4 linked regions of the Drosophila melanogaster genome follow. The protein of the gene in region 3 interacts with the protein of the main gene of each other region in a pairwise test. Each region holds a gene or a part of one and is shown on either strand. Other genes may lie near its edges.

Region 1 (7,292 bases), on a different chromosome or scaffold from region 3:
TAAGAAAGAATCAGAGAGTAAGCCGCACTATAAGCCATCTAGCAAGACCATTGAAGAGAATGTAGTCCCCGAAAAGAAGCCCGATAAAGTAACTAGCTCTAAACTTAATACGAAAATCGAAACTAAAGTGATGGAGAGTGTTCCAAAAATACAATCGGTTTTCTCAGGACTCGATCCCAAACAGATAATAGGTGGCTTGAAGGCCATCAAGCAATCTTCATTCTTTAACTTGGTGGATGAGTATCAGAAGCAAATCGAAAACCTCAATCAGGCGTTGAAAACAAAGCAAAGTTGGTGGAAGGAGGTTTTGGAGAGGGGCAAAAATCCAGCCAGGATACCCATGAAAAGGAACATATTCATGAATAATCCTGTTTCTGGCCACGTTTTGCAAGCACCGTTTCCCGAAGTGCTAGTCAATCAGCCATCACAGCTGGGCGGTAGTAATGTCATTGACACCATGGCCACTCAAATGAATCTATCACCTTTGGAGGTGGCTCAAAGGATTGTGGGAACCGGTCAAAATGCAGCCGATGGTGGATTGAGATATGCACCCAATCGCATACCATCAGGTAAGTCAGTGAGTATATCGCTGTAAATCTATTTGAAATTATGAATATCGTGTAAAAGCAAGTCAGATCGGAAGTAGTTTCCGAAAGGGATCAGAGATCATGTGCCAAGTCCCAAGTCCACCATCACAGACGCCGCATCAACAGCCAGAGGACCAGCTGGGGATTTCGCCGGTTCTAGACAAGATCCTGGAACGATTGGAGAGCATTCAGGCAAGCAAGTCAAGCAATCAATCGTCGGAAGAGGAGGAGGAGAGAAAGCTGCCCTGCTGCTTCGTGGATCCAGCTGATGGTAAGAATAGGTGGTAGAGCTAAGATTCATGTATGTATATAAAGTTTAAAACTTCAGGTGCGCCCTGCGATCTAAACGGATCCTGGGAATCTCAAGTCCTTGGCATTCGCATAAATATCAAGACCCCGCCAACAAATTCAGATGGCGAAGAAGCGGAAAAGCCGACCTGTAGCCAACACAAAGGTCGTACCTATCGCAGGACGAGACGACAGTGCGTCAAGATGAACAGGACGCAGTTGAAGGATGCGGCCGACTTGAAAACTCCCAATTACCATGGCATTAAGCTAAATATTAGTGTGCAGGAGACAGTGCCGCCGAGGGCCCACGATCTCCTGGATAATCTCACCGATTGGTATTTCTCGGGACAAGCTATGATGATCCTGGGCGGGCCACTTTCTCTATCCTTCCGCAAGGCGAATTCCAATCTGATCGGTCACTTTGTTGGCTATTGTCGCACCTGCGGCTGTGTGGACACCATTTTCGGTTCGTGGAGCTTCTGCCAGCCGTCGCGGGATTGCCAGGACATCTGCATGTCGATTGTGGACAGACGGGATATGCTACGACGATACAGTATGGATGAGCGGCGAAAGAATCGATTCAAGGAGCAGCTCTATATGGGCAGCAAGTTCGCCAAAATGGAAAAGGAGCGCCAGCTGGCCGAGCAGGAAAAGTGCCACAAGCTTGCTCCTCAAGCTTCGCGCGAAACGAATGGGAATCCAAACCCATAAGACAAAGCTGAATTTAAATTAATTATTATTTAAACTTAATTTATTTTGATAATTTGTTACTAATTAGTTCGTTTGAAAGGATTTGATTATTAAAATGCATTTTGCAAAAAAAAGGTGGCTAAAGGAATGTCCTTAAATTATATCAACTGATCACCAAGTCGTGAGCTTACATTCCATTCGCCTGGCTCATTTGGTGGTGAATGAATGACATGGTGTATCCAATCGAACGCCTAACGCAGTGCACGTCCATCTGGCCATCCAAGATGCACTGCCTCAACTGATTGACGGCGTAGTTCTCGATCCGTTTCTTGGTACTCTCGTTGTCAATTCGTTCCAGTCGCTTATCCACCTTGTGCATTAGAATGAATGCCTCTGGGAAGTGACCCACATCACAGGGCCAGTTGACAGAGTGCGGATGCGGGTGGCTTAGACTTGGACCTTGGGACGAGTTGTCCTCCTCAGACCAACGAATATTCCTGGCCTGCACCAAAGCCAGAGCCGAAAGAAGTAGAATCACCAGAGTTGAGTTCATTTCAACGATCGCTGTTAAACTGTGCCAGTCAATTCTATAACTAACCCTTTTATAGCCCCAAAAGCAACAACAACTAATAACTGATAATGCAAAAGGGCTTTGTCCTCACAATGTTGCTACTCAGCCACGAGTTTTTCAATTATTGACAGAGGTCAATGTCAAAAATCATTGATTAGCAAATGGCTGTATTAATGTATTAATTAAAAGAGTGTTTGCCGATCAGCAAACTAAATGAATCATTATTTGAGGCAAATAATTTCTATAATACAAGTGTAACAAACTATTGTTGCTAAATTACATTAAATATATATTTAATATATTAGTTAATAGGTTGCCAAATTTTTGAAAATATAAAAATGTGATAAATCACTTCCTGTTATTGTTGATCTTTTCGTTAATCCAATTTACGATCTCCTACCCAGATAGTATAAGTTAAATTATCAGATTTCGAATATAGAACACAACATATACCTGAACACCAGACCCTGTCCGCATGGAACATTCCTCAAAAGTCCAATCTCGACCAGTTAGGCGATATAGGCCCATCAAATCGATAACCGTGGACATGGACAGGGATCCCGAGGCGTCCTTCTTGTTGGACACGATCAGCAGCGGAGCATTATCCAGTTCCTGGTGCATCAAAACATCGCATAAAACACATCGCGCCTCGCTTAGCCGCAGTGCATCCGTGCTATCCAGTACAAAAATCTACGGTTCAGGGATTGTAGTCGAGTCTATATAAGTTCTATATAAGTTCTCCTCTCACCAAAACATTCACTTTCTTATAATACTTTGGCCAGATCTGGCGATTCTTCAGTTCTCCGTTAATATCCCACAACTGGACTCTGAAATTATTTATGGTGAAGCTCCATTCACTAACTTGATTGTTAGATTCCTTGGACTGCAAATAGTTTATGCTAACATTATCAAATGGAGATAGGACCATCACATATATGGCCTTACTTCTCCATTGAAAATTTCCGCCAGGCGGTCTGTCAACGTGGATTTTCCCGCATTGTCTAATCCTAAAATGAGCAGACATGATTTCTGAGAGCCTGCGGGCAGGATCTTTTTTATGAACGAAACAGGTCCGTAAAAACACATGGGGATCGAAATTTGATTTCAGTTTAGATGTCAGGTAAAAATGAATGATTTAACTAGCATAGCCTTCTCAACTATATATTCAGTTTATACTTAAAGATACACGTGAAAAAAGGAAGATTCATCCAACAATTAGAGATTGTGATACTTTTGGTGAGTTGAAATGTAGGTACGTATATTTAGTTCTTAGGGACAACTTAACAGGCGACGATTACTATAATTTAGATTACTTCTTCATATTCTTGCAGACCCAGTCCATTCCCTCCTTTAGTCCAGTGCCATCCACAGCGGTACAGGCCTTGATCTCCCAGGTTCGTCCCTGCAGTTGCACCAAGCTCATCTTCTCGGCCACCTCGGCGGCACTCATGGCATCCGGCATATCCTGTTTGTTAGCGAAAATCAGCACGGGAACTTGCTTCAACCGATTGTCCATGAGCATTTCGAATAGTTCACTACCCGCCTCGGGCAGGCGAGTCCGATCTGTACAGTCAATTACATAGATCTGAAATAATCGAAACTATTAGCTAACAGAATTGAGTTTAGATCTATAACAATCCTACCAGCACATCAGTATTCGCAAAATAGTTCTTCCAATATGGACGTATCTTCCATTGACCACCAATATCCCATACATTCAGTTTGAAACCATCGGCTGCCACGGACTTGATGTTAAATCCTGCCGTGGGCGTTACCTGCGGGATTTCACTCCGTATTTTATGGGGAAAACGGAAGAAGTTCGCCGCCTTTATACGCACCGTGGTTATGTCCTCCGATGCCAGCTGCTTCAGTATCGTGGTCTTGCCAGCATTATCCAATCCTAGGAGCAGGATGCGAGCCTCCTTTTCCGGATTGGGTCTCAGTTTACGCAACAGCGATAGCAGACCCTAAAATTTGTAAGCTATTAAGTTGTTGTTTTTTCTACTTAGTTTTTTGAAGGTGTGTTATTCTAGCACCTGATTACCAGTATTAGTCTAGACTCGGTAGTATCCTCTGGTCTATCTTTGAAATTTTGAATAACAATCTACATTTGGTAGTTTATAAACTTGTAAAATTGTTAATAAATATATGTGTTTTTATAAATGCAACATATGCTTGTAAACACACATGTTTTGTTATTATCAATGTTGTTATCAATAAAGACGATGTAAAGTTGTAAAAAAAAAACTTGCAATTAAAACGTTCTCTTAGTGATAGAATGCAAAAAGCTTATCAACAGGTGAACTTTACAAACATATTGTTGGAATTGAGATAAGGGCTCGCCAAAAGAAACGACAACAAGGTTGAATGAAATAAAAATGTTTATTGGTAAAAAAATTTGCCATGTTCACTTAAAAATTAAGAACTCTTTTTTCCATTGTGTGCTACAAAAAGCTTATTATGTTTCTTTGTTTTCCGAACCACCAATTTGGTTTTTTTTTTCGAATACCGATAATTACGCGCCTAAAACTTTCGAAGTAGTGCTGAAAAAAGTTCTGCTCTAACAAAAAAGTGTTGTATAGTTTTTGAGGCGGGTTTCCATGGCGACGATCGCAAAATGAAAACAAATCGTGCAATTACGGAACAACAAGGCACTTAATTAGCTGTTACGGAACCGGGAGACAACCTACCATCGTATAATTAACGCGAGAATAACAGCCAGGAGGCGGTGCGATCTCCGACCACTATATCCGTATCTGTATCCCCCCGATTCGGCAATCTGCTCTGGCCGCCCAAGACGGTGTCTTCTGGTGGTCAACTCAGGAAAAGTCGGATAACTTGAGAATTGGATCAACTTCAACCACCAAACACAACATCACTGGCTCGTCGCTGCACAACTACTGAAAACAAAATTCGCTCAACGCTCTAACAAATTCCGACAGCAACAACAACAGCGCCAACGGTCGCCGAGCAACCGCTGCAAAGGATTGTTAGACGGGGGACGTGGTGGGGGTGCGGGTCGAGCGGTATTCGAATTGGAACGGGAACGGGAAGAAGATGCCGCTGCTATTTACGGGCTTCAACGCATTTGGCCAGCATGAATGTGTAAGCGGCGACGTCGACTGCGCAGCCGGCTTCAGCGGTTTGTAACCGGCAACAAAAGCCGCCGATCACTTAGTTGCTACAGTAGGCACTCGCTATAGAACTCGCTGGGATGCATGCAGCTTATACCATTTTTACAATTCTAATTCTATCTTATAAAACTGAATCCGATTTAAGCCAGATGAATTTTTAAGATTTCATGTTTAAAATAGAGTATAGTGATTTTCAGGTGAATATATACGTAGGACATTAATCCATAAAATTCTTTGCATATTCATATTCATGCATTGGATATAGACTGCATTTTAATTGACAGTTATAGGGTAAATTACACATCGGTACTTGGTGCCAACTGCATTTTTTGATTGGCCAAATACATACATAGCAATGAAATTGATAAACTAATAACTTAGACAAAATCTTTTTAGGGGGCTTCCACCGTATGTATGTATGTGTACTAATTCAGTTCTGCCTTTATTACAGAATTAAATGCGCCAGTCTCGACTCAGAACCAGTGCACGATTTCGATCGGCTGGCGGTATGCGGCCCTCGCTTTTGGCCGGAAGTTGTGCCTGCGTGGGCTCTTGGATGATGGCCCAAATGAGTGCGTGACCCTGGAAGCAACGGGGAACATAAGGGCCCTTGCCGCTGCCGATTCCCACTGCCTGGTGCTACTCCAAAGCGGTCAGCTTTACAGGGTGCAACCAAAACTGCAAGCGGAACTGGTGGCTGTTAGACTAGAAGCTGCTCCCAGATCCAATTCGGGTACAAAGCGCTCTATCTTTGGGGCTGCCAAGGCGCCTTCGTCGCCGATCATAGAGCATATTGCATGTGGATCGCACATAAACGTAGCGATAAGTTCGGAAAACTGTGTCTACAGCATTCCCAGCTGCCTGCATCAGTTTTCCGAGCGCCAATTTCGGGTGAAGCAGCTCCAATGCGGCCATGAACATGCCGTGCTCCTCAATGCCAATGGCGACGTGTTCACCTGGGGAAATGGACTGTAAGTAAAGGTCATAATGAATGCGTTGGCTGTGCAGAAATGCAGCCTATAAATATTTACATATTCTGGTTTTAAGATATTTAGATATTAGCGAGTTTCTTATTCTAATTCCTAACAATTTTTTTCACTTCTATGTCATAATTAACAGACGCGGACAGTTGGGTCTGGCGGAACTGAGAGTGGAGGAGACGCCTCAATTGCTGGAGGCGCTGGCGGGGATCAAGGTATATATATATTTGACTTGTCCACTTATCTTGTCTGTCACACATTCAAGTGCCTTGCAGATAACTCAAATTGCTGCCGGTGGTTGGCACAGTGCGGCCATATCCGCCTTTGGAGACCTCTACACCTGGGGCCTCAACTGCAGCGGTCAGCTGGGATTGCGTGTGATGAAACCCGGTGGCGTCCTCAAAGAGCCCACTGTATTTCCGCTGCCCCAGTTGCAAGATCTGCCCGAATGTGCCTGCTCCCAAAGCGGGGAGAGCAACGATGATTGCGCACCGCTGAGGGTGTTTGCTGGATCTCGTCACACTCTGCTGATCCGCCGATGCGGGCGGCTATGGGTCAGTGGTTGGTGCAAGCACGGTCAACTTGGCAGGCAGCTCCAAGACCTGTCCTATGTGGATGCTTTTCAGGCCCTGGAAGGTATCACGATGAACCCTACTGTGGATGATGTTCTCTGTGGGCCATGGTCAACGCTGCTCCATTTGAAGGTAACGTTGGATTGAAGACACATACATATGTACCTTTTAAAATGGCTTCACTATTAAATCTACTGAATTGAACACAGCTTGGACACAAACCAATTTACATGTCAACTTGGTTGCCTTCATGTAAAATGTATTGCCACACATTTTACTTGACTTTTATCTACTTTGTATATATGTACAAAATACGTTGTATGATGAGTAATTTAACATTTGTATTATATTGCATATATTACCAACTTATGTAGATAAGTAGGCATTGGAATAAGTGTTTCCCCACTATTTTAGTACTTTTAAATTACCAAAGACAGGCTGGATGAGCGGATTGCCCTTGAGCATGGCGT
Region 2 (8,669 bases), on a different chromosome or scaffold from region 3:
GGGTGAGGTCGATGCCCTCGTTGCGGAACTGCCGTCCGATCTCGTACACACGATCGAGTCCACCCACCACCAGCATCTTGTGATACAGCTCCGGAGCAATGCGCATGAACAGATCCATCTTGAGGTCATTGTGATGCGTCACGAAGGGCTTGGCAGTGGCTCCACCGGCGATCATGTTCATCATGGGCGTCTCGATCTCCAGGAAACCCAGACGATCCAGGAACTGACGCACGTACGAGATGATCTGCGGGCAATGGGAGTAGTTTTTGTTATATTCAGCTTAAACTCCTTAGTTCAATTCATACCTTGGCACGGATCTGGAATTTCTCTCGCACATTGTTGTTGAGAATGAGATCAAGATAGCGCTGGCGGTAGCGCGTCTCCTTGTCCTTCAACCCGAAATGCAGATGGGGCAGCATGTGTAGACAGGGCGATAGCAGCTTGATCTCGCTGGGCATAACGGACAGTTCACCCTTCTTGGTTTTGCCGGGATGTCCGACAACGCCGATGATATCACCACGTCGCAATTTGGACGTATCGATTTCGAAATCCGCCTCCGACTTGTAGGACTTAGCGCTGGCCATCACCTGCACCTTGACGCCCTCGCCGCGCAGATCGTAGAAAATGAGCTTGGCGCCCGACTCGCGTATGGCATGCACGCGCCCAGCCACGCTCAGTTTGACATTCTCCAGGGTCTCGCCCTCCTTGAGGCTGTTCTCGTACTTGGCAATGAAGTCTTCCAGCGAGCTACTCACATGGAACTTGTGTGGATAGGGATCCGTTGCGGGTGAACGTTTCAGCTCCTGAACGGCGGCGGAGCGCAGCTTAAAGTATTCATTCGGCGAGATCTCCTCCTCCTCGGCGGCACTGCTCTTCTTCTTGCCAGCAGTATTTTCCGCCGGCGCAGCGGCCGCCTTCTCAGCCTTCTCCTTGGCCTTTTGCTCGGCCTTCAGGCGACGCTTTAGCTCACTGTGGACGAAGAGAAACAGTTAGGGTATTAGCAGACAATGGAGATGTTGCCACAAGGCTGTTATAACCACGCATGGATATATATATATATATATCCAGCCTGGCCAACGGTGCGTATTAGTAACCCACAGTTTGGTCTGCTTGCTTGGCTCCATTTGCGGAGCGCTCACGTGGAAACCGGCGGCAAGTGGCTGAATTCCGGTGTATCTGCATCGGGGCCATGACCCCTGCACGGTTCTAAGGGCGCAGCGGGCGAACATGGTTATTTTAAGCAGCGTATTTCATCAGCAGAACTGCACACATGCAACATAAATAATGCGAACTGGAACGTTGCCGCTTCGCCCTAACCTACAAGTGGGGCAGCTACGTTGACCGGATTTAATGCTTGCGGTCAAATGGATACGCTTTGAAGCCTATGGCACTTACTTCTTGGACAGTTCTCCACTTGCAGCGGCCATGCTGATGCGGTTACGTTGTTCGCTGTTTAATCCCGGGGTCTCAGAAGCGATGGAAACCCAAAAGAAATGCGAATGCGAAAGCGCCACAAAAGTAAAAAAAAAAAAGTACACGACCAGCGCTGCCAGATGGGCATAAATCGATGCAACTGGCTTTGCCGCACCAGATGGCCAGTCTGGCGCGAGGGCATTTTTACGCCATTGACATCTGGTCACATTGCACTAGACCCGAAATATATATTTTATTTAGCTTTTGCAATATCCTTAAATTAACAATTGATCAACTAAAGCCACGGCCTTGCGGGCAGTGAGCACAGCACAGCACGGCCCAGAACTGGACTCAATGGCTGGAGGACGCGAAATGCTCCGGTCGGAAGGCAGCAAACATCAGAACGCCAAAGTAGAGCAACTGCAGCTGTAACTGTAACTGTTAACCCTGGGTTGGTCGCGGGGGCGGGGTGGCAGTGGTGGTTGTGGACCAGGAAGAGGAAGAGCAAGGGTGCTGGGAAAGAGGAAGAGCACATCTTGAGGCCAGGAGGCAAACGAGCCAATGGAGCCACCAGCTGCACCGGTACCCCTACAGCCACTGGCAGCATCTTCCGCCTGCCTGGCGGACAGGAGTCCAGTGGATCCCATTGCAGTCAGACTGCAGCAGGAGGAGCAGGCAGAAGGAGATGACGAGGAGGAGGAGGAGGAAGAGGAGGACGATGATGATGATCCCAAAGAAGAGGAGGCCTTCTACGAGGCGCGCAACGGCAACGAAAGTGACGAGCTGGAACAGGCCTTCCAGAGTGCCCTTACCCTGACCAACGATGTCCATGTGAGTGTCAGCGAAGTGGAGGAACATGAACCGCCCTTGGCATCGAGAAATCAGGAGGTGGCAGAGGTGGAGGAGCAGCAGCAGCAGCTGGGGGCCTGCGCACTGCCGCAGCCCAGCGAAGCCTGTAAGTAACTTGAGACTGACGAGCGAGTTCATCCACTCATCCACTTGGTTCTCTTAAAGCTCTTACAGGCTCAAAGGAGACCAGGGAACCGCGCCACCACCAGACGCTGCTTTCCACCAAATCTTGCGAGACGCCGGCCAATAATGCCACGCTCTCGCCGACCAACTCCTACAATGGCAGCATTGGCAGCGACGGCGGCAGCAGTGTGGGCGGTGGCGCCCGCCGCAAGTCCTGGACCCTGTCGCCGCAAAGCGGTGGCTCCACGCCCCTGAGCGGAGCCAAGAAGAAGACCAAGACGGGTGCGCCAACCACAACACTGTCCAATGCTAATGGCGACGGTTTTAATCTGTGGGTGGCACGTGAGTGCTTCGAAACAGTGCCCGCTGAAATGGTGGATACTCTGAGCATGGCTGAAGTGGACGAGGAGGTGGATGAGGAGGAGGACGAGGAGGCGGCTGCCGTGGAGAGTCTTCTGGGAGCCGCTGCTGCCCTCCAGGCCAGTGCCCATGTGCAGCGCCGTCAGCAGCAGCAGCATCACCAGCATCTTCGCCAGCCCTCGCCACCACAGCATCGTCCGCTGGAACGATCTTGGCCGCCGCGTGCCGTTGGTCGGGATCTGAAGCTTCAGGGCGATGTCTTTCAGTTCGACATCCTGGACACGGACGAGCGACTGGCCGAGGAGATGGCACAGGGCAGTGGGAGTTCGAATAATTCACCCCTGGCCACGCCGCCTGTGCGCTTTAAGCCGCTGCTGAAGAAAAAGATTGGACCCGATAGCTACATCAACACAATTAGCACACAAAAGGTGCCGGTCCACCAGAGCTATGAGTTCCCCACCTTTCCAAGTTCCTCGGCAGTTGGATCGTCATCTTCGTCGCCGAATAGTCTGCAATTTCCGTATCTGCGCCAGCACCGTCCGCTCACCCGTGCCCTTTCCAATGGCAAGGCCAGTTCATCGGAGGAGCAAGCCTCCCCACGCCTTCTGCTCTCACCAAAACGTCCGCGAAGTCCTCCTTCCGGTTGTTCCACGCGCAGTGCCTCTCCATTGGATATCAGCCTGAGTCCAGAGCAGCACTCGCCCACCAGAGGCAGAGGAGTGGGTGGTGCTCTGCAGGATGCGGTGCCGCCCGGAACTCCAACATTCCATGGTCAGCGACCGCAGCAGCGGCTGCTCAAACGTGTAGGCGGTGGAGCAGGAGCTGGTGCTACGGGAGGCGCAACCGGCTCGCCATTGGTATGTCCACCAACGCCTACTCACCATGCCCGTCGGCATGCCCGCCTCCAAGCCGTCACTGCCAATTCCAGCCTCGCCAGCGGAGGAGCGATCCCCTCGGATCCGCCAGCCGTCTCTAGTCAATTGGATTACATATATCTGCAAGATGGTGGCCAGGAGCAGGGTCAGGAGCAGTCAGACGAAGTTGTGCACATAAGCAGCACCCGCCTGCCCTCCATTCCAGAACGCAGTGCAGCCGCAGCAGCGGCGGCGGCGGCAGCAGCAGCTGGAGCCGCTCTCATGGAACCCGGAACGGGTACGGTATCCGGGTCTAGTGGAGCTGGAGCCGCTGGAGAGCCACCATTGCCGCCTGCTTGGGAGGCGCGTATGGACAGCCACGGACGCATCTTCTACATCGATCACACAACGCGAACAACCTCATGGCAACGACCAGGAGCGGCGCCAAGTGGAGGACCAGCAGGCAGAGAGCAACATCATCGCCAGCAGCTGGATAGGCGGTATCAAAGCATCCGACGCACCATTACCAATGAGAGTAGAGCTGCGCAGCTTTACAACCTGCCAACCTCGGCGAATAGTAATGCCAATTCCACAGCTCCAGCTGCTCCTCCGCCCGCCACGGCTATACATCCAGCCATCCTGATGCTCTGCCGCCCGGATTTCTACTCCCTACTGCACACCAACGAAGCTGCACTGGCCATCTACAATCGCAATGCCGCACTAAAGCACATGGTCATGCGCATCCGACGCGATCCGCCGTGCTTCCAGCGGTATCAGTACAACAAGGATCTGGTGGCGCTGGTTAACACATTCGCCCAGATGAGCAGGGAACTGCCCTCGTGCTGGGAGACCAAGCTGGATCAATCGGGCAAGCAGTTCTTTATTGATCACCAGCATCGTCGCACCTCATTCATGGATCCTCGTCTGCCGGTGGAGTGTCCTCGTGTGGTACGCCATCGCCAGCAGCATTCGCAGCAACAGTCCAGTGTGGGCTACTACTATCCGGATCTGGTGGATGGCAACTGCCTGTCCGCCACCAGTGGGCATATTAACGCCAGTCCAGCATCATCGGTCTCCGGTGTACCGCCCTTACCTCCACCGAGACCCTCATCGTCGTCCTCCTCGTCCAGAAGTAGCCATGGACATGGCCACAACTGCAACACAACGTCAGCCATCTCCTGTGCCCTCAACGCCGACCGTTCGGCGTATGGTGCCGCTGGAATGGCCAGCGCTGGAGCCACTGCAGCCGGGTACGAAGATGTGCCCATCGCCTACAACGAAAAGGTGCGTTTCGCGTTTCGCTCGTTTAACAAATGTAAAATCTTGAACTTTCCATTGATTACACATATTTCTTTTCAGGTCATTGCCTTCCTGCGCCAGCCGAACATCCTGGAGATCCTGCGAGAGCGCCAGGGCCAGCACACAATGTCCCGCCAGTTGCGTGAGAAAATCAATATACTGCGAGTGGAGGGTGTTCCCGCACTCGAAAGATTGGGCCATGACCTACAACTGACCATTTTGCTGAGGTGAGTGATCTGATTGCAATAGAAACTACTAGATCACTTAACATGACTATGGATCGTAGCGGAGATTATAGATAGATTGATATCGTCTATATCCAATTCTTGTTCTTTTGCTAAGTCGAATTATACTCGAATTATTCCGCCAGCCAGACAGTTGGAGGTAAACCCTCGGAACTGGCGTGGTGCTAATGAACCCACTGCCATATAGTCCCGCTCACATGACGCACCGTTGGCCGTCAGGCAATGGCTCCACCTGCACTTGACGAAGGTCCCACACCAGGCTAGGCCGTATCCATCTGGCCTGAAATTGCATTGCTGCGTCATTTTCTTGGCTCGAATCAGTTTTCGGTTTTGATTTGTAGCTGCTGGCTGATTCGGTTAGCTTCAATCGATTTTGGCGGCGGTCCTGGTTGAGTGCACCGCATATGAGTGCTGCTAGTGGGTTTAATTGTTTTTGAAAACCGTATCGAAGGTCGCTGGCTAATTTTCCAAAACGCCAAACGCGCGTCCAACAATGCAAGCGGACTAAGCCAACTACCAACGGCAAGGCAAGGCTAGCACTTTGCCATCGTCTTGGCTTTTAATCCCATTGCTTATTGTCTAATTGACCGTGTTTATGCGAGAAATAACACAACGAAATCAATGTACATTTACCACAAAAATTGAGGAACTGCAGCACGTCAATTCGCAATGTAAGTTGCGCTGACCTTAATCTTAATCCCAATCTCGGCGGCAACAAAATGGAAATCGATGTTGAGAGATTAAGTCGCCGCCCCTCATTCTCCCAAACTGTCGATTACTACTCCACCGTTGCTGGCTGGCCACCAACCATTCTGATTCCCATTCCGATTGAGCCATTTAATTGCATTTCAATTAGCCAAATTGTCGCGCTTCATTGGCAAACGAGTGGTGGGAGTTTTTACTATGCAATCGTATTTATTCGAGTGCGAATACTTTGTACATCTGGTTGTTAAAGTTGTGGTAATCATAATAAATTTGGAAGAATCCTGCGAAAATTTGACGCAAGATTCCATTTAATATCTTTAAATATTGCTGAAAATCAAGACGCTTCCTAAAAATTTATAATTTGATTGTATATATTTTCCCCTAAATGAAATCCACTTAAAAACAAGCAAGTTCAATAGAACTTTAGGCAATGATATGCACTACATACAAGAAAAAATCAAGTAATAAGTAATTTGATTAATTGCCGTTTTGTTAATTAGTTCAGCACCTTTTTTTTTAAACGAAACGAATGAGTTAATTTGTAAGTTCATTTAAAGCATATTGCATTGCGCATAGTGACACCTAACGATCTGGTTAGCGAAAGTATTTACACAATCTTTTGCAAGCGATCGCAAAAGTCGGGTAGCCGTCGCACATGTCGCACTTGGTGTATTGGAAATACGGAGCGCACAACTCCGCTACCGAGATCAGAATCCGCAGCCTCAGACAATCTGCACTTGGCCATTAGTCATCCGAGTGGCGATGAGGCAACACCTCGCCCACCCAGCGCCATCCCCCTTTTTTTTTTTTTTTCATAGTTTGAGCAATTAATATGCCCAACAACAACAAGAGTCAACAAATACACGCGTTTAGTTATCTACACATTTCGCCAGTTGGCTAAATGCCTAAATGCTTTTGCCGGTGAATTATAAATAGCTGAGTGGCTCTTAAAATATATACATATGTATGTATGTGCATATATATATGTATGGGTTATATATGTATATTTATTGAGCGATCTTGGGGCATTCCGACTTTGCAGCAGCCACGCCTCCTTTTCGGTGGCAGAGCAACGCCCTTCAGCTTTAGCAGCAGCTGCCCCATAAATTCCGCAGACGCCCCACTAATCCGCTAATGCCCCTCGCCCGGTTCACAATTTAACCCAATTCCAAATCAAGCATAATTTATAGCAACTCCAATTCGAATTTTGAGTCCCGTCCGATTCTAAGTTTTTTCTTTTTGCTTAGTTCTTATTTTTTTTTTTCCGGCGGAGGTGTGGCTGTGCCGTCATCTTCATCAGCAAGTTGTGCTACCTCATAATCATAATCATTATCATTATCATCGGCACCCTCGCAAAGTCGCGTCGTAATCGTCATCGTTGAACTTCAAGGCATTGACAAGTTTACAGTTGGCCTCTTCGTTGCTCTTCTTCCAAGGGGTATATCTAGTTTTCCTAGGGAAATAGATGTCTAATAGATGTTTTTAGATACCAAAAGAGTTTAGTTTAGTTTTAGAAAGGTGGCTTACCCAAAAGTAGTAGATGTAGGCCAATTGAGCAGGTCAAGAACTACTTAAATATGATTATATATATATATACATATTTATCTTCAGTAGAGCATATGCATCTACTATTTTTGGAAGCAGGAAGTTGGCGTTGGAGTTGGCCTAACTGCTGTTTGCCGTTTAAATTTGACCCGTAGAAGGGAACATTCGCTTTTTTTTTTTTCTCAGTTGTTTTGCTGCTCGTTTACAGTTCATTGGGCTTTTGGGCGGATTGCGCATGCGTGCAGTTCGATTGGGACATGGGATCAGCGAGGCATTGAGGCAGTGGAGCCTCAATGGAAACATTGGGGCAGGCGGCAGTCATGGAGAGACACCCAAACAGTGGCCGCCGTCTGTTTGCGGTTTGTTGTGGCTGGCTTCCGTTTTGGGGCGTGCTAAATGCAGGGCGTGGCAGTAGTATATACATACATGAATGTTAGCTCCAGTTGTAAACGGAGTGTGGAAGTGGAAGTGGGAGTGGTTGTCGCGGTGGAGTGATGAGCAGGCAATTATAACCATGACCAACGCCAAACACACTCAACCATCCACATGCCATGGATTGCGATGGGAATGGGAATGGGAATTGGAATGGGAATGGGCATGGGTATGGGCAATGGTATGGGGATGGGGCTGTCGTCGATCGTTTGAAGTGCACTCCTCGTGGGGGTGACTCAATCGCAGTCCAAAACCTAAATACAAAACCGAACCCGAAACGAAGCCGTAGTCATGCCGGCAACAGCTGACTGCCGGTACAGTGGGGCAGTTTTGGGATTTTAGAACAATTCTAATATAGAAGGGATCTTTTGCTTGTAACTAGGAAGTTATAGTAAGCAAGGAGGTCTAATTACATAGTTTCTTAATTTGAAAAAGATTTCGAATATTGAACTATACATGATATCCATCTCAAGACAACCACTTTGTAGCATATATTATCCGTTGAGAATATCATACGTGATATTTTGTAACATACTTTCACTAGATATTAGAAGTTCTCTTTAGTACCATCCATTTCAGTTCCCCAAATCGAGTTCTCAATAATCTCTGTCCACTTTGAAGCAATTCCCTAATCTGCAACCCCCAATCGTGACCACTGTGCGTCAGCGGATTCTGCTGGCACTTCGGCGGCGTCGTTTGGAGCAGCGCTGCAACGTCTCGAGCGACGCCGCCTTGCACGGCGAACGGCAAAGAGCTGAAAACAGAACTCCAGCGGTACGCGGCGATCGAAAACAAAACCAGCGAGTAATTAAATAATTTCCTTTGCCGCTTAAATTGAATCGAA
Region 3 (7,952 bases):
TTACTTATTAGGCTAATTGTGTTCGTTAGGACCACCTGCCTTGGTGCAAGTACTTTAAACTGGAGATTGCTTCCATTTTTGATTGATCAAATACACTTTCCGTGTCTTTAGCTCACCCCCCCCCCCCTTCCACCACCACCACCCACACCATCATCTTCAACTGACACCGTTCTAACAATGGCTCACGTCGCAAGTCATCTGCAGCAGCCCAACATCGTCGTCTGCATTTCAAAATCGCACACAAAACATTTGCCAAATGCGAAAATGCAGTCAAAGTCGTGCAAAATGCAGTCTCCTCTAACCTGACTCATCAGCCACCACCAATAGCTAGACACACTCTTTCCACCAACTGACAAATGTACACTGCAAAAAAAAAGTCGCGAAACTTAAAAGTTACAGAAAATGCTTAGCTCATAAAACGATAATCTTGCTTTATATTTCTTCAATATGTACCAAATTTAATTTCAAAGCATATAATTAAATTATATTATGAACTTATTAATTTCAGTGCAGTCGGGATCACTCAGTGAACACATTTTTTTGTGATTGTGCAGTCAGCCGTTAATAGAGACATTGAGGAGTGACGGAGAGCGAATTAGAGGGTTAGACAGAGAGGGGAGTGACGATAGAAAAAGAGGGGGCGACTAACAGAATGAGCGAACAAATACCTCTTCTAGTGCTATTTTCTATTTGTACTTTGTGGAAATGTTTGCTGTTGCTGTCGCTGCTAACGCGGTGTGCAATTGTTGTTATATTTAGCATCGCAGACGCAATTTATATAAAGTTTAATTGATTGGAAAATCAAATCGATTCGATTCGCACTGCAGCAACAACAGCATCCACAATGGACAACGCACATTTGCCTTTGACCAGGCGCAGATTGTGCATGGGAATCCCCCGGGCGAATCGCCCAAAATGGAAACCCACATCCATTGGCCAGCATACAAGCCGTATTTCAGACTCAAAGTCGTTTATCTTGCCGCCGTTTGGGTACGTTTCTGATCTCGGTTTTGCAGTTGGGCTAATGTAAGTCGCACATAAATTGAATAAAGAACGAGTGTAGGTGGCAATAAAAGCCAGGCCAACACAGTTAGGTTAAATTAAGCTTCTTCTTAACCTGCACTTGAGTGCCAGAATTCAATTACAGTCTCGTCGTGTTTAGAAGCGGCGATTAAGGAAAGGTACTAATAGCCTGATTAAATCTTTAAAATTCCGAAACGTTTCAGCGTATTGTTGTACTTTCTCAACTATTTTTATACCATTTTTTTGATAACTATGATCGTTGGATTTTGACAGGACATGTTCTTGAAAACTCAGCATAACAACGAGCTAAATAACATGTCAAGGCACTGAAATAATTGGCTCTACACACTACTTCAGTTTTTCCTAGTGATGGACAAACTTTCAGCAATGGCATTTTATTTTCCACTTTACAATTGCTTTATTTGAACAGAGTGACTCCACCACCACTCCAATTTTCCAACTAATCCAAATCCATGGCCACTCAAACAAAGCAGCAACAACGAAACGCTTGTCATTAACAAACAATGCAGTACCTGTTTAATTTTTATTGTGAAACTTGGCTCGACGAGAGCTTAACTTTTCCCGATGCAACGCAGCTTAGATAGCTATATACACCCACTCAGCAACGATAAACCCACTCGACGCCGGGGGACATTGGATAATGTCAATGGCCGGGGATCCGAGGTGGGACCGAGCAGTTCCACGATATGTTTAATGGCAGTAGGAATGGAAAAAGTTTTACGTATAGCAAAGCAATTCAATTGAAAATAATTAGAAACGTAGCCACATGGCGAAACTTCTTAATTACCCGGCTATTGTGCGTCTACACTGAAATAAATATCTACTGAATGACTTAGTTAGTGGCGTAAATTAGGATTATTTTACTTTTTAAATTATATGCAAAAGCGAATATAAAAAAATATTTTTGTAAAATATAATAAATAACTTTTGACACTTTAATCCTGTTGTATATAACCATAAATTTCTCTGAGTGCATTCGACAGTGGTGGCACGATGGTTTCAATGAGAATTAAAAGAGTGCAAAGAACAGAAAATTGCATTATGCATAAGTCGCTAGAGCTTAAGCCATTATCGAATCCCTCCACGTATCCAAACATGGACAAATAAAGATACAGAGAATGCCACTAAGAGAGGGAGTGAGAGCGAGAGTCCAAAGCAATCCAAGAGATACGATTCGAATAAGAGATAGAGCGCTACTTGGCTATTGGAGCCGTATAAAACAAGTGTGTCCATATTATGCCCCATCATTGGAACATTGGAACTCCTCGGCTTGATCATGTACCTACGTCAACAACTCTGGGTTCTCTTGCTCTGGCTCTGCTTCGTCGTTCTCAGCGGTGAGTGGTGTTCTAATATCTATATCTATTATCTATATTTTTATAAACCCACATTTGTCATTTGTGAAGTGCATGGCATGCCGTGGAAATGGGGACCTGCCTCCAATTCTGGACCCCATGGCGGACCCGCCTGGAATGGCGGAGAAGAGTCCACCGACAATATAGTCATCCATTCGAAAAACAGCGGCAAGTGGCGTTACTAAATTTATCCAAGTGGCAGAGGCGTGACCACAACCAAGTCAAGCTGGATTTTACAGTAAATTTGTGAATAATTTTACAACTACTTTGCTTCGCAATTGATTTTCGTCGAACAGTACTCGATTTGTATGCTAATACTTCATTCATGGTCACACTCACTTATATATAGTCACTTTAATTGTGCACCTTTTTATCTATGACATTTAAATATAACCCTTTACTATACTGTATGTAATAGAGCCAAAATATTTAAACGAGATTAAAAGCCTAATATTGCAAATATGAATATGAAGATACAGTTTATACGGCTTTTGAAATTGTTTCCTGAATCTAACTAATATTGCAATCGAATGAACAAACCGAAATAATCTACGAAATTATAAGCTATTGATTGATATTGATTTTATTGATAAGTATGCAAACGAGCTTATGGGAATTTTTCAATTCTGATCGTCATAACAATATCAGCACGTGTTTTATAATAATTTTTTCAGAATGTTGCAAATCGCAGCGCACCCAACTTTTCAGTTTCTATGGCATATCTGCGTACTTTTGGCCTGGCTAAAAAGCGTTCTTGATTTGACACAGTTCCCCCCACTCTCTCGATCCGTCTAAATCGAGAGTGAATTGGCAAGCCGGTGACGAAGTGCCTCTGTCGCTCAACCGCAAGTAAACAAAACAAACCCGTCGGTGGCAATTCCCGGTAGACTGCACCGCTGACCTCCTCCGTCTTATCTGTTATTGCGCGAGAGTCACTGTCACTGAGAACCGATCTCATAGAGTATATAGAACGAATACGGCGCGATGAGCCGATATTTTTATGGGATAGTATAAATAGCTGGCATCGCACTTGGCATTGGCATAGTCAATGCAAAATGGGCTCGAACACTGGAGCTTGGATTCTACTGGGCCTGCTGGCCGGCATCGCCTCTCTGTCTAGCGGTGAATATATAGATATACTTTGTATGTGCAGATAGAAAAAAAATAAATTGTATTTTTATAGCTGCGAATATACAGCGAAATGAGGACCAGACGATTCTTCAGAACAATGGAAACACCTTCCTATCAAACGGAGCCGGGCAAATCATTCGTGGACCCGATGGCAAAACAGTATTGATCGGATCCGATGGGCGCAGGATCATCACGGATGCCGACTCCAGCGAAGAGGACAGCTCGCACGATTATGGTCACGGTGGGAGCTATAACAATGTTATCATCAATGGTGGCTCGGGATCCAGCGTAATTCATGGCGATGGACATAGCTTCATTGTTGGAGATGCGAGTCATGGAAGTTACATGAACAGCAATGGACGCAGTATTAGGATCATAAATGGTGCCATCGAACTCAATGATCACGGCCAGGTGTACACATTCAGGCCAAAAGCAGCAGGCATTAACGAAAAGGAAACCGTCACCATCAACGGACAACCGGCTCAGGTGGAGTACTCCAATGGTGATATAGTCATCGAACTGGCCGATCATACGGTGATTGCCAAGATAGGTGGACGCACATTTCTGGGCGATCGCGAATCCTTCGACAATCGGGATAAATTAGAGGCGGAGGCAAAGAACTATGCCGATCGTATCCAGCAAGAGGTGCACGCCAATCTCCAGAAAACCATGGCTGATATTCAAAGGGATCTTCAGAATTCCCTGGGAAATATTTTCTATTAGAAGCCAAGTAATCAATCGTACACGAGTCGCTCGAAATAAAGCGCCTTTGCAGCAATTGTCTTGACTTTAATTGTCTTATCTATGGTTTACAAGCTAAGATGTTCTAAAAGATACATATCTAGTGTGTAATCCAAGTACAACAGACCCCAGACATGAGGCGTCTTTGGGCATAATCTTCCCATTTGACCGGCCTGAGGCCACAAACGTGTGGGTGGTTAGGTCAATTAATGGGAAATGACGCCCGGCAAATGTGATTGATTAGCGGGAAACTCACCGTATAGGCAGCTTATGGGGCGGCTAAATCTAATGCTTAGTATCGCCTAACAGACTAGGTTTGTATGGGCGTGTGGCGATTGGAATACAATTACCGAGCTTGCGGCGGTGTTTATGAACACTTCTTGGTATTTAAATGACGGAATTTCCCAACGAATCTTCGTAAATAAGACCAAGGTCTCTTATTCTTTATATTTGTGTTTTCCAAGCTAACTTAATAAATTCTTAATTAATGGCCTTGATCTTTTGTCAGCCACAAATTGTCTAATTGCATTGCTGTATACATTTGCTTGTTTATGAAAAATGCTTTTAATTGAATTAGGGTGGGTCGAACGAAATTTCTGCTTATTTTGTATTTCTAAATCGAGATTTGAAATTAAATTTCCATCGATGTTAAATCTTAAATTTCTATATCAGGTTGACAGTTATATATTTAATAAACTGCTACAAATTTGTTAAGTGAGAATGCTATAGTCGACTTGGGCAAATCGATAGAAATTTACAAGACAAATAAAAATATATAAAAAGTTTTAGTTTTGGGCGGCTTGTCGGCGTAAGAGGGATCGTTCAGAATGTGTAAGGTTGATCTAGAGCTTGATTTGCAACCCATAGTCAGTACAAACCAAGTATCTTATCTGTGTCCTTGTTGTCCATTTCGAAGATTGATTCGCTGCCATTTCCCATTTTCAAATTCAATGTCAATTCTGTTAATATGAGCGGAATGAACGCAGTGGATGGATATGTGGGGTGAACTTTTTATCTTAATGACTTTATTTATAGGCTGAAACTTAAAAGCGAAAACAATGGTATTCAAGTTATGTGAAGCAAAAATATCGAACTGCGCGCGAGCAGCTAGAGATGTGTTTTTTTTTTATCGATCCGGTATTTGATTGATAAATAATCGATTGTAAGTGGACACGTGCCCAAACACGTTGCGTTTGACAACTGCTTTTCTATCCAATTAATTGCGATAAATAGACGAAACGAATTCGGACCGAAAGATAGGTCTAAATTTATAGTGTCTATTCCTGCGCTTTCTAATGTCAACCACTTGAGATATTCGGAATAAGATCACTCGTCAAGATACGAAAATGAGCTTTTTGTTGACCGAACCGCAGTGGTCCGCCTGGTACTCCGCCTTTTACGCGTCTTCGATGAATCGTCTGGCCCAGAATGTGTGCACCGCTCAAGATCCCATCACTGTATGCCTGCGATCCGAGGCGGACTTATGCTCCGTTCCGTCAGGTGTGAAAACCTGGATAGAGTTGAGCAGGCAGGGCAAGGCCACTACCGGTGGTCCGGGATGGATATGCACGGGCCTGGACCTGCTGTGCCAGGAGATGGACAGAAAGTTGCCGCTTCCACTGGACTTTGAACTCTCCGCCGCACATTTGTTTTTCTGGCACAAGTTGGAGCGATGCAACTACTTCCTGTGGACGGTCGCCGATCTTCTAATGCGTTGCGAACCGCTGGATGGGCGCTGCTTTCGGAATTTAATTAAGAACCCAGTGCCAGATGGAGGCAACTGGCAAATGTTCGTTAATCTGGTCAAAAAATACGGAGTTATGCCCAAGAAATGCTACCTCCACTCCACTCAGCGAACTACAAAAATGAACCTCATACTGAAGAGTAAGGTTGGTATTTTGTATTGTACTGAATATTATATACATATGTATATATTTCCTTCACCTAAAGCTACGTGAATATGCCAGCATGCTGCATGCTCAGTTCACCTTTAATGGGAATGGCTGCCGTCTCCCCGATCTCATTCAAGAAATGATTCCGCATCTCTTCAAAGTAATATGCATCTGCCTTGGTGAACCTCCCAAGGTTTTCACCTGGTCCTTCTACGACCACAAAAAGCGTTACCAGTGCCTGAATGATATGACAGCGGTCCATTTCTACGAAGTTATGGTAGGCTGTACGGTGAATCTAGACGCCTTTGTCTGTCTGGGTCACGATCCGCGAATCTCATCCAGCTACCATAGCAACTATCAGGTTGCCAACAGCTCGAATATGATGGGCGGAAAACCTCATAGGTATAATAACCAATCAATGGACATCATAATGCAGATCATGGTGACTTCTCTGGAAGGTGATAAACCCGTTTGGATGGCCTGCGATATTCGTAGAGCAATCAGTTTGAAGTCCGGTCCATTAAGCCTGAGATCGCATCAATTTGATTTGCTATTTGGCTTTAAAGTGGGCGAGTCGCTCACCAAAGCAGAGAGACTTGACTACAGAGCATCCCGACGGGATGCAGCCCTGCTCCTTACATCCGTTGGATTGGACACCTTGAAACAGCCCGTACAGTTTCGCTTCATAAATGCTTCTACAATTGGCGAGTCTCCCGCCACCGGAGGTCTTAATGAACACGATGTGGACGAAAAGGTTACGAAGGCATTAAGAAAGAAGTCGGTCAAACCACCGGATAACAAATTGGACGCCGAATGGTTAAGGGAGTACGCTTTTGAGATTGTAGTCCACGAAAAATTTGTCCCATCGGGTGTTTTACATGCCGCAAGGATACATAAATGGAAAGAACTGCCTGCTTGGGATCCCATGGGCGCATTACTTAATTAAAAAATTGTTTAGAACCAAAAAAAAAATCTTTCATAAGAAATACATTTACTACATTTTATTTGCCTTCTTGAATAGATAAAAACTAAATCCATTCATTCAATTCAAGAAGAAAGTTCAACAACAATGACAAATTTCAAGTATTTTTCCGAACTGTGGGCGTGGCAACGTGAAATAAACTTGCGCTGCTTAATTTCAACTTTCTAGCTTTTATAGTACCTAAGATCTATCGATCGTGATCATGAATACTTGATATGGTCGAAAACGCTTTCTTCTTCCCTTTTACCCTTTTACTCTACGTGTAACTACGAGTATAAAAACAGTCAGCACGATTGAGTTTTGTTGTTTGTTGAAAATAGTTTTAGTAAGTAGTGAACAATTGACTACACTCTCGTTTAAAGTGTCCCATTTTTGAGTTTCCTGCGAACTCTTGTGCCAGCCGCCAATCGCTTGCATAAAATTATTTAAATATCCCGCAACGTTGTGTCCTTTGTGGCAGTTGTTGTCATCGTCACCGAGGCGCGACCTTCACTAAGTTTTTCGGGAATCGCTCCTACGTGCCCGGCATGACTAATTAGGCATTAGGGAGTTCTCGACAAGAGTTGTTGGCGCGGCCAGCAAAACGGCGACTGTTTTCAACTTAAGGGATTTGCTACTCTAAGGAATTTGCCATCGCACAAAATAAAGAACAACAAAATTAATCTTTGACTTAAAGGCCAGGCGTCTTTATTTTATTAAATTCGGTTACAAATAGCTGCTTAAAATACGGTCTACCAGTAGCGTCGGCCCTGGTTGTAGTACGGATAGGGCTGTGCGTATCCGGGGTACTGTCTTGGAGCCACCTGC
Region 4 (7,296 bases), on a different chromosome or scaffold from region 3:
TCAGCATCCGAGAGGAATGTTTTGGGTTTTATTTGCAGGGAAGTTTCGGCGCCGTGAGGCGAAGTCTGTCGGAAATTACCCAAAACATTGGATGCGCCAACAGCTGGGCAACAGCTGATGACTTGAGGATGGTAAGGAGCCAAGGCAAAGCTTTCATAACTTGTGGAGCGTTCATCTCTATACATATGTGTTATCTGTATTTATTTTCCTTTTCGCCGGCTTCTGCGTCTGTTTGATGTTGCGGTTGCTTTGGTTTCCCCTTTATTATCATCATTATCGTCATCAGAGTGACGCACTCTTGGCTGCGAAATGCTTTTCATTATGCGCACTAATGTCTATGGCCTTTATGTCTAATGCGTGCATAAGGACCCACTCTTAAATCCCGACTTGGCCCTGTTTGCACTGCGGCATATGTACTTATATATACAGGGGCATGTCGGGGCACACATTATGCGGATTGGGCCGGTTTATTTGTATTTTTCTTGGCTGTGGATTATTTTTATCATCGCTTGTGCATGTAATTTATTATAATGATTTACACATTAAGTATCATTAAGCCGAGTGCTCGGCTGTTGTGTAAGGGCGTATAAATTGCAACTAATTGTTCACAACGCGGCGTATGCGTGATATATACGCAAAACTTAAATGAGGAGAGCGCAAATATTTACACGCACCCACACACCCGCACTCAGCACAGTTATTAATAATCCTGGCAGCGTTTGGGGAACTTAAGGCAAATTCTCATCGGCACCTTAATGAGCAACTTTTCCAGCGCCAGTGCCTGGGTGGTAGCGGGTGGAAAATGATTGCGGAAAAGCACCCAGCCCGCACGCAAAACTTTCGTACTCATCAATTCGAAACTAAGAGGAGAATTTCGCAGGCGTGCATGATATTTATGCCTTGGATTTTGGGTATTCCCCCTACTTTCCCTGGGAGGTTCATTAATTTTTCGCCAGCTCTTCGTTTGCAATTATACAAGAAAACTTTTCGCAGCCAGTTCGACAGCCAAGCCAACGGATTGACAGTGAGATATTGATTTAATGCATTGCCAGAACTCGTCGGATTTCTGTGTGCTTTTGATTTATTTGTTAGCCGCCTGGGTGAGCGGTAAAATCTGCCAAAAGTTTTGGCATAAAGTGTCAGTCTAAAAGGTAGAAAAACACTAGTAGAGCACTGAATTTTGCTTTCCCTTATGAGTACTAAAAAGTGCAGAGATTGCTTAAAAATGTTCATGTCATTTGATTATAATCCTGTAGCGCATTTTTGCCTGTGTAACCGCTTATAGTTCCACTTAAAACCATCTAAATGACAGTTGTTCCCCAGGCAACTTTGTCTGCTAAATGCTGGCATACATCCGATATTTCGCTATCAGCCACCGAACACACAGCCACACGAAAAGCATTAAAAATATGCCAGGCATAAAAAGTGTTCTACCATTCTGTAAATTTAGCACACAAAGTGGGAAAACTTTCGATTTTTGTGTGGGCCATGGTTGGGAGGTTATGAAAGATTGGCACCTCGTTTTATTGCCCTAGTTTTCCCAGCCCTTTTTATCTATATTTTACTATTTTTCTGCTTTTTTTTTTGTGGCTGGCGCCTCCTGCACCTTGACACTTTTGCAATTGTCGCATGGGAATATTTTTTCATTCGTTGTTATTCTTGCTCAATTTGTTTTTGTGTGCCCCCATTGTTTGGGCCCAGTTTTGTTGATTTTTATTCTCGTTATTCCCCTATTTTTCTGTACTTTTTCTATGCTTTTTCTGTACTTGTTCTGCACTTTTTATTTATGGTTAGTGCAGCAAAATATTTCAGCATCAGGCGTATAACCAAAGTGCCGAGTGTGAGGGCGGCATCGGGCCAAAAACTATGTGGGTGATTTTTATGGCTTTGCCTTGCCTCTCAGTTCAATGAATAAATCATTGGACGCCAAGGGGATTGGTTGGGACTTTGCAATATGGAGTGGGACTCTCTGGTAATGTTTGATAATATTTTATGGAAATATTTGTACTCGTTTTGGCTTTGAATAAATGTGTTGAGAGTCGTACATTTTAAAGAAGTTTGGTAATAATTGAATGTTTCAATACGACCGGAGCCAAATGAACAATTGTAAATGATTCAAGGAAACCCCTATTTAAGTTGTTTATGTCTGAACCCTTTATCGTTTCCCTCTTTTTCAAAGTCTATCCCATTAGCAGAAAATCCCAGAACCTTCGCAGGCCTGCAGCAAAGTAAACTAAGCAAATCTGCTGGCATTCTAATCCTTTTGAAATTTGCTTTAATTAACTCGAATAATAAGCAGCATCCGCATACTTTGTACTGCTCCTTCTGCCGGAGCCTTTTTATCCTGTTCGTGGGCTTATGAGCTTTGGCACTTTGTGGTTGAAATTTTGTGATTCCTTTTTTTTTTCTGGCATTCGGATTTCCGACATTTGCCAAAGCAAATTTCAGCGGAGCGGGACTAATAAGCCAAACAAGAGACAGTGGAAAGGGGGCGGGAGGAAAAGGGGCGCGGCTGGCAGACAAAGTTAATACGACACAGCTGCCCTCGCGGTTGGTGGGCAATTGAAAAGTTTATTAATAACCCGCAGAACGGCAGTGGCAGCCATACGAACTTTAAAGAGACTGCTGCTCTTTTTTATTTGTATGATTTTTATTTTTAATTAAAAGAAGGCAAGGCTGAGCGGTAGCGAGTGCGGTCCAAGGGATATGTAATTACATTTGAACAGCATGCGAAATATGTTTTAATTTATTAAATTAAAATAAGCGAAAAAGAGCTGGAATGAAGGAAAAATAACAAAAACACGACAACAGGCAAAGGAAGCAACCAGCCGCAAACCGAGTGCCCAAAGCAATTTGAACCAACGTCACACGCGGCGTATGCGTAATGTGCTCGCAACAAAATCAACGTTATGCAAATTTTAATGCGAGCATAAGGCGGAAACGAAACGGCGCTACGCTTGCCAGTTTCTCCTGAATCCTGTTACGAGAATCGCCAGGGTATTGCCAGGGCATGATGGTGCCACATATAGTAAGTCATTCAAGCTGACCACATGACAACACTTGGAAATGTCACTATAAGCATAATAAATAAATACTTAAAATATTGCCAACATTTCAGTGCACAGCGTAATTTATAAAGCAATAATGCCATATTTTATATAAACTACTATTGTGGGAGCTCAATTACCGTAAGAGCCACAACAAACCAATTTCAGCTTTCCGAGCAATTGAACAATCCGAGGGTATCGTTTAAATCCGACCCAAATCAGCGCAGGACTCCTTCGTCCTGGCAGTCGCCCTGCAGTTGTACTTGTATTTACATAAGCGTCCGTATGTATTTCTCCCAGAGCACTCGCCTGGCGCAAAATTACACTTTGTTGGCGAGACACACACACTCACATGCTCATACGCACACATCGTGGCGCAAAAAATTGTAATGAGCTTATTAAGTCATATTAAAGTCCAAGTACAGCCAATTTGATAAAAACAGCAACTGACAGCAGACTGGCAATGTTTTCATGCGACATTTTTTTACGATAGCATTTGGCATTAATGGTAATAGCAAATGGCGTAGACACACGCTGTAGCTATGTACGTTACACTCGAAGAAAATCAATATTTTAATGAGTAAGCAACCAAAAGGGTTGATGCACGTATAAATAGATGTTGAAGAAATATATAAATAATAACTTAATAACTTTGTCTTGCTAGAAATGAATAGTACTGAATTTCTTTAAGTGCATGTAATTTATATGACTGATGTAAATGAGCTCGGCAGCAGGTGGCTTAACATTTTTATTCGCTCCGCACTGCGGTAAATTGTTGTTAACTCGGCTTAATTGAGTATGATCAAATTGCCGCTGATTTTGCACTCGAATATATTTCGACTGAACTTTCAAAATTCATGAAATGCTGAGCACGAAAACAACTTAAACAGAGTCAATTATATAGTTTATGGAAAAGTCGTAAAAATGCCGATACTTGGACAAATGTTTCCTGCAAGTAAGTAATGTTATTAAGTAGTAGATAATTACGTAACGCACTCACTTCATCCTCTAGAGCTGGGTCCCAATTTGATGACAGCCTCCAAAGTGCTAAAAAGTCCTCTTGGCCAGGCGTTAGTCTCCTTTTTGGTTGGCTACTTTGTCACCACAAAGTTGTCGCAATTTTATGGCAAATTCAAGAGGGACTCTGAGAAATCCGATGAGTCGACGCAGTACTTGGACATGTACCCCAGGAAAGAGAGTCAGCCAAAGGACACCAAAGGACACGATATCGTTCTGCTCACTCTGGAGGAGCTAACTGCCTTCGATGGCTCGAGTCCCAGTCTACCCATTTACACCGCTCTGAATGGCCTCATATACGATCTGAGTCCGGGCCGAGAAAAGTTCAGCAGTCACGGTCCGTACTCCCTATTGGCCGGTTGCAATGCCAACAAGGTCCTGAACATTGCCTGCAGTTCCATGGGCGTCTGCGCTGCGAACGTAATAAGTCGCTGGGAGCAGAGCCTAAGAGCCGAATTTAAAGTCGTAGGATATTTAGTCGATGCTGATATAGATATTATTAGCGGTAGTCCAGTCAAACATACAAATTCGGCCATAGGGGAGCAAATGGAGAAGAGTGATATCGTTTAAGATGCTGTGAATATCCCGTTTTCTTAGCTTGGCAATAAAATATTATTCACAGAAACTAGTAATTTACTTCCAAGCTAACTGAAGGGGATATTCAGTGCAACCACGGACTAAAAATGCGTTTGGAAAAATTACATGTAACTTGTAGAATAAACAAAATTATTGAAGATATCTTTTAGCTTCATGAGCGAATATTTTCCAAAGGTTTTAGGTTGCCAAACAAATGATCGACTATTTCTTTTACAATCTCCTCCAGCCTGAGATTAAATTAATTCTGTCCTTCTTTTTTTTTGCCGTTTGACCGAGCTCTTGGCATTTGGAAAGCCGGAAAGTTTTTCCGCCTTTGTCTTGCGCTTTTTTCCCCAGCGGTTCGGTTCGACAGGAAAATATCGACAACGGCAAATGTCGATAACAACAAATTGTTTGTCGTGTTTTCCTTTTTACTTGGCACTTTTTGCCCATCAAGCTGTTGACTTTGTCAAGTTGTCGCCGAATTTTCAGGGCTTCGGGGTGATTCGGGTTTCCCATTGTGCCGGTGTATGTGTGTGGAAAAACTTTGCGCCAAACACGCAATTGACTTAAATTGAATTGAAAGCTGAATTCTGAGAGCTGAGAGCTGAAAGCCAAGAAGTGACAAAGCGGGCGGGAAAGCAGAAGGAATGCCGTCAGGTGCTACACAGCTAATAAAATCAAAATTACTTTTCGCCAGCGCAAAGTTTCGTCAGTCGACGTGCTTAAGGAATTTAAAAAAGTTGTCCAAAAATTGTTAAGCACACACTTCAAAATCAGTCAAATGTGCAAAAGGACAACACACACTCAAGAACAACATTTGGCAAAGTGTTATTTGAAGTGTCGAATTTAATCAAGCGCAAAGGTGACAAAAGGGCTCAAAAGTTAACAACAACTAGGGCCAACAATAACAAGTGGAAATGGTTCTTAAAAGGTGGCGAAATGGACGAGAGCAGTCCCCTGCAAAGATGGAAGGACAATGTCCTGGAGTGGCCCATTTGCATAAATTGTTCGCACTTGTTTCAGCTTTTTATTAGTGAAGCTTTATTTATACTTAGTGAAATCCGATTGCGATTGGGTAAGTAGTACTACAATAAAAAAAATCCATTATGCTAGTCCGACCAATTAAAGTTTTAAAATGCTGCTTTAATGGATCTTCCCCATTGGTGATAACAATAATACGGATTAAGGTAATCATTCATTCGCTTTTTAAATGACCCTTTTGAAATGAATTAACTGAATGGATTCTTTGTCATGTTGGCAATTCATTATATGTAGCTCCTTAAAATAAATTTCCCGTTAGCCACGCCCCGAAACTTGGCCAGTTATGGTATCCCATATAATTGGTGCCAAACACTGAATTTATCACCATCTGGTTGTCATGTGCAAACGATGCTCTAACCCCCACTTTGCCGGGAATTTGGATGGGGAGACCTCCCTCCAGTGTCATTCGTTCATTTTAATGTTTTACGTGACCCATTCGAAATCGAATCGAATAACTCATTAAATGCAGAACGCGCCAAAACAGGTGGTAGGGCTAAAATCGGGGGGAAAGGTGGCCATAAGAGATGTGTTCTAGGTGTAAGGCAATTAACCATAAGAGCTTATGTCGTGGAACGTGCCTAATTGCTGGATGAAAACACTAGACGAATCTGGATTTCGGTGTTTGCGCAGGGAAATGCAAATGGCTGTGTGAGTGCGGCAAACAATTAGTTTTCCAATTTCGAAACTAAAATGTTGGCAAACAACACAAATTAAATTCACTCAGTTGCATTCCGACTTTTCGAAGTCTGGCCAAAAGTTTACTTTGCTCTTTGCCATTCGCTGCTTGCAGGAGTTAATTTAATTAGTTTTCATTTATCTAAAGTACACGCTTCATTACATAATTTAACAATTCATTAGATTGAGCCCGGCTTCGTGGTAATTGAAAAGCGCGTCACGCTCTAGCCCCCAGATTTTCCAACGCCTCGATTCGCCACGCCCCCTCCGCAAGGCATGCACATCAGAGACCGCCCCTCATTTCGCAGTCTGGTTTTTATGTTCACTTTGTTATTATTGCCGCCAGACAATTGCTAATGGTCGCTGTAATTATCATTAAATGGTTCGCTTTCTTTTAATTCTTCACCCATTTCTGCTTCCACCTACCAATCTCGGCACTTTTATCCTTTTTCCCGGGAAGTGGGAACAATGGCTGCGGCCCAACAGCTGCTGGCTACATTTCAATGTGTTTGTGAAGGGATTAAGCTGCACTTGGCTCCTTAATTTGATTGCATTCGAGAGTGATTTGCCATTCATGGACAATTATGGGTAAGTGGAAATGTGGAACATCCAGCAAGGAAATTGTAAGTGAAATGTGAAGGGATTTCTCGAGGCTTAACTGAATCCTCAAGATTGGTTTTTATTCATTTTACAAGAAATTTGTCTGAGGCTTGCATCCATTCGAAATATGCTAGATAAAATGGTTATATGTCCATATAAAAGACATTGAATTACAATTTTAATTAAACTTGTTTTTTAATTACCACATTATCAGTAGCTTGCCATTTGGTTACATTTTCCATTTTAATGAAAGATATAGGTAAGAACCTCTGGTAAAAACAGCTACCTATGTTTTCCAGCCTTTTCTTCTATTTTCCGCAGTAAGAGGCTTAAATTT

What was found.
Region 1: the proteins of Bbd (region 3) and CG17819 interact in a two-hybrid assay, tested with the Drosophila melanogaster proteins (one large-scale study listed by BioGRID).
Region 2: the proteins of Bbd (region 3) and Hecw interact in a two-hybrid assay, tested with the Drosophila melanogaster proteins (one large-scale study listed by BioGRID).
Region 4: the proteins of Bbd (region 3) and c-cup interact in a two-hybrid assay, tested with the Drosophila melanogaster proteins (one large-scale study listed by BioGRID).

The regions. Positions count from the first base shown.
Region 1 is NT_033777.3:21,882,314-21,889,605, forward strand, and holds CG17819 (uncharacterized protein), read right to left. Parts: upstream 3,238-7,292; 5' UTR 3,223-3,237; coding exon 3,082-3,222; intron 3,020-3,081; coding exon 2,885-3,019; intron 2,827-2,884; coding exon 2,590-2,826; intron 2,533-2,589; coding exon 2,485-2,532; 3' UTR 2,415-2,484; downstream 1-2,414. Other genes in the region: CG31465 (uncharacterized protein), read left to right, coding at 1-569, 628-858, 916-1,586; fit (female-specific independent of transformer), read right to left, coding at 1,753-2,118; dnd (dead end), read right to left, coding at 3,446-3,721, 3,780-3,911, 3,975-4,103, 4,827-4,829; CG6678 (uncharacterized protein), read left to right, coding at 5,194-5,278, 5,722-6,241, 6,390-6,465, 6,526-6,954.
Region 2 is NC_004354.4:9,607,324-9,615,992, forward strand, and holds the start of Hecw (hecw ubiquitin protein ligase), read left to right. Parts: upstream 1-1,622; 5' UTR 1,623-1,974; coding exon 1,975-2,368; intron 2,369-2,427; coding exon 2,428-4,883; intron 4,884-4,958; coding exon 4,959-5,125; intron 5,126-8,669. Other genes in the region: LysRS (Lysyl-tRNA synthetase), read right to left, coding at 1-244, 306-969, 1,099-1,229.
Region 3 is NT_033778.4:20,531,072-20,539,023, forward strand, and holds Bbd (bombardier), read left to right. Parts: upstream 1-3,173; 5' UTR 3,174-3,454; coding exon 3,455-3,521; intron 3,522-3,582; coding exon 3,583-4,253; 3' UTR 4,254-4,764; downstream 4,765-7,952. Other genes in the region: CG30154 (uncharacterized protein), read left to right, coding at 2,321-2,381, 2,451-2,584; CG13423 (uncharacterized protein), read left to right, coding at 5,618-6,160, 6,222-7,109; CG13427 (uncharacterized protein), read right to left, coding at 7,877-7,952.
Region 4 is NT_033779.5:1,829,130-1,836,425, reverse strand, and holds c-cup (calcutta cup), read left to right. Parts: upstream 1-3,860; 5' UTR 3,861-3,971; coding exon 3,972-4,002; intron 4,003-4,059; coding exon 4,060-4,634; 3' UTR 4,635-4,799; downstream 4,800-7,296.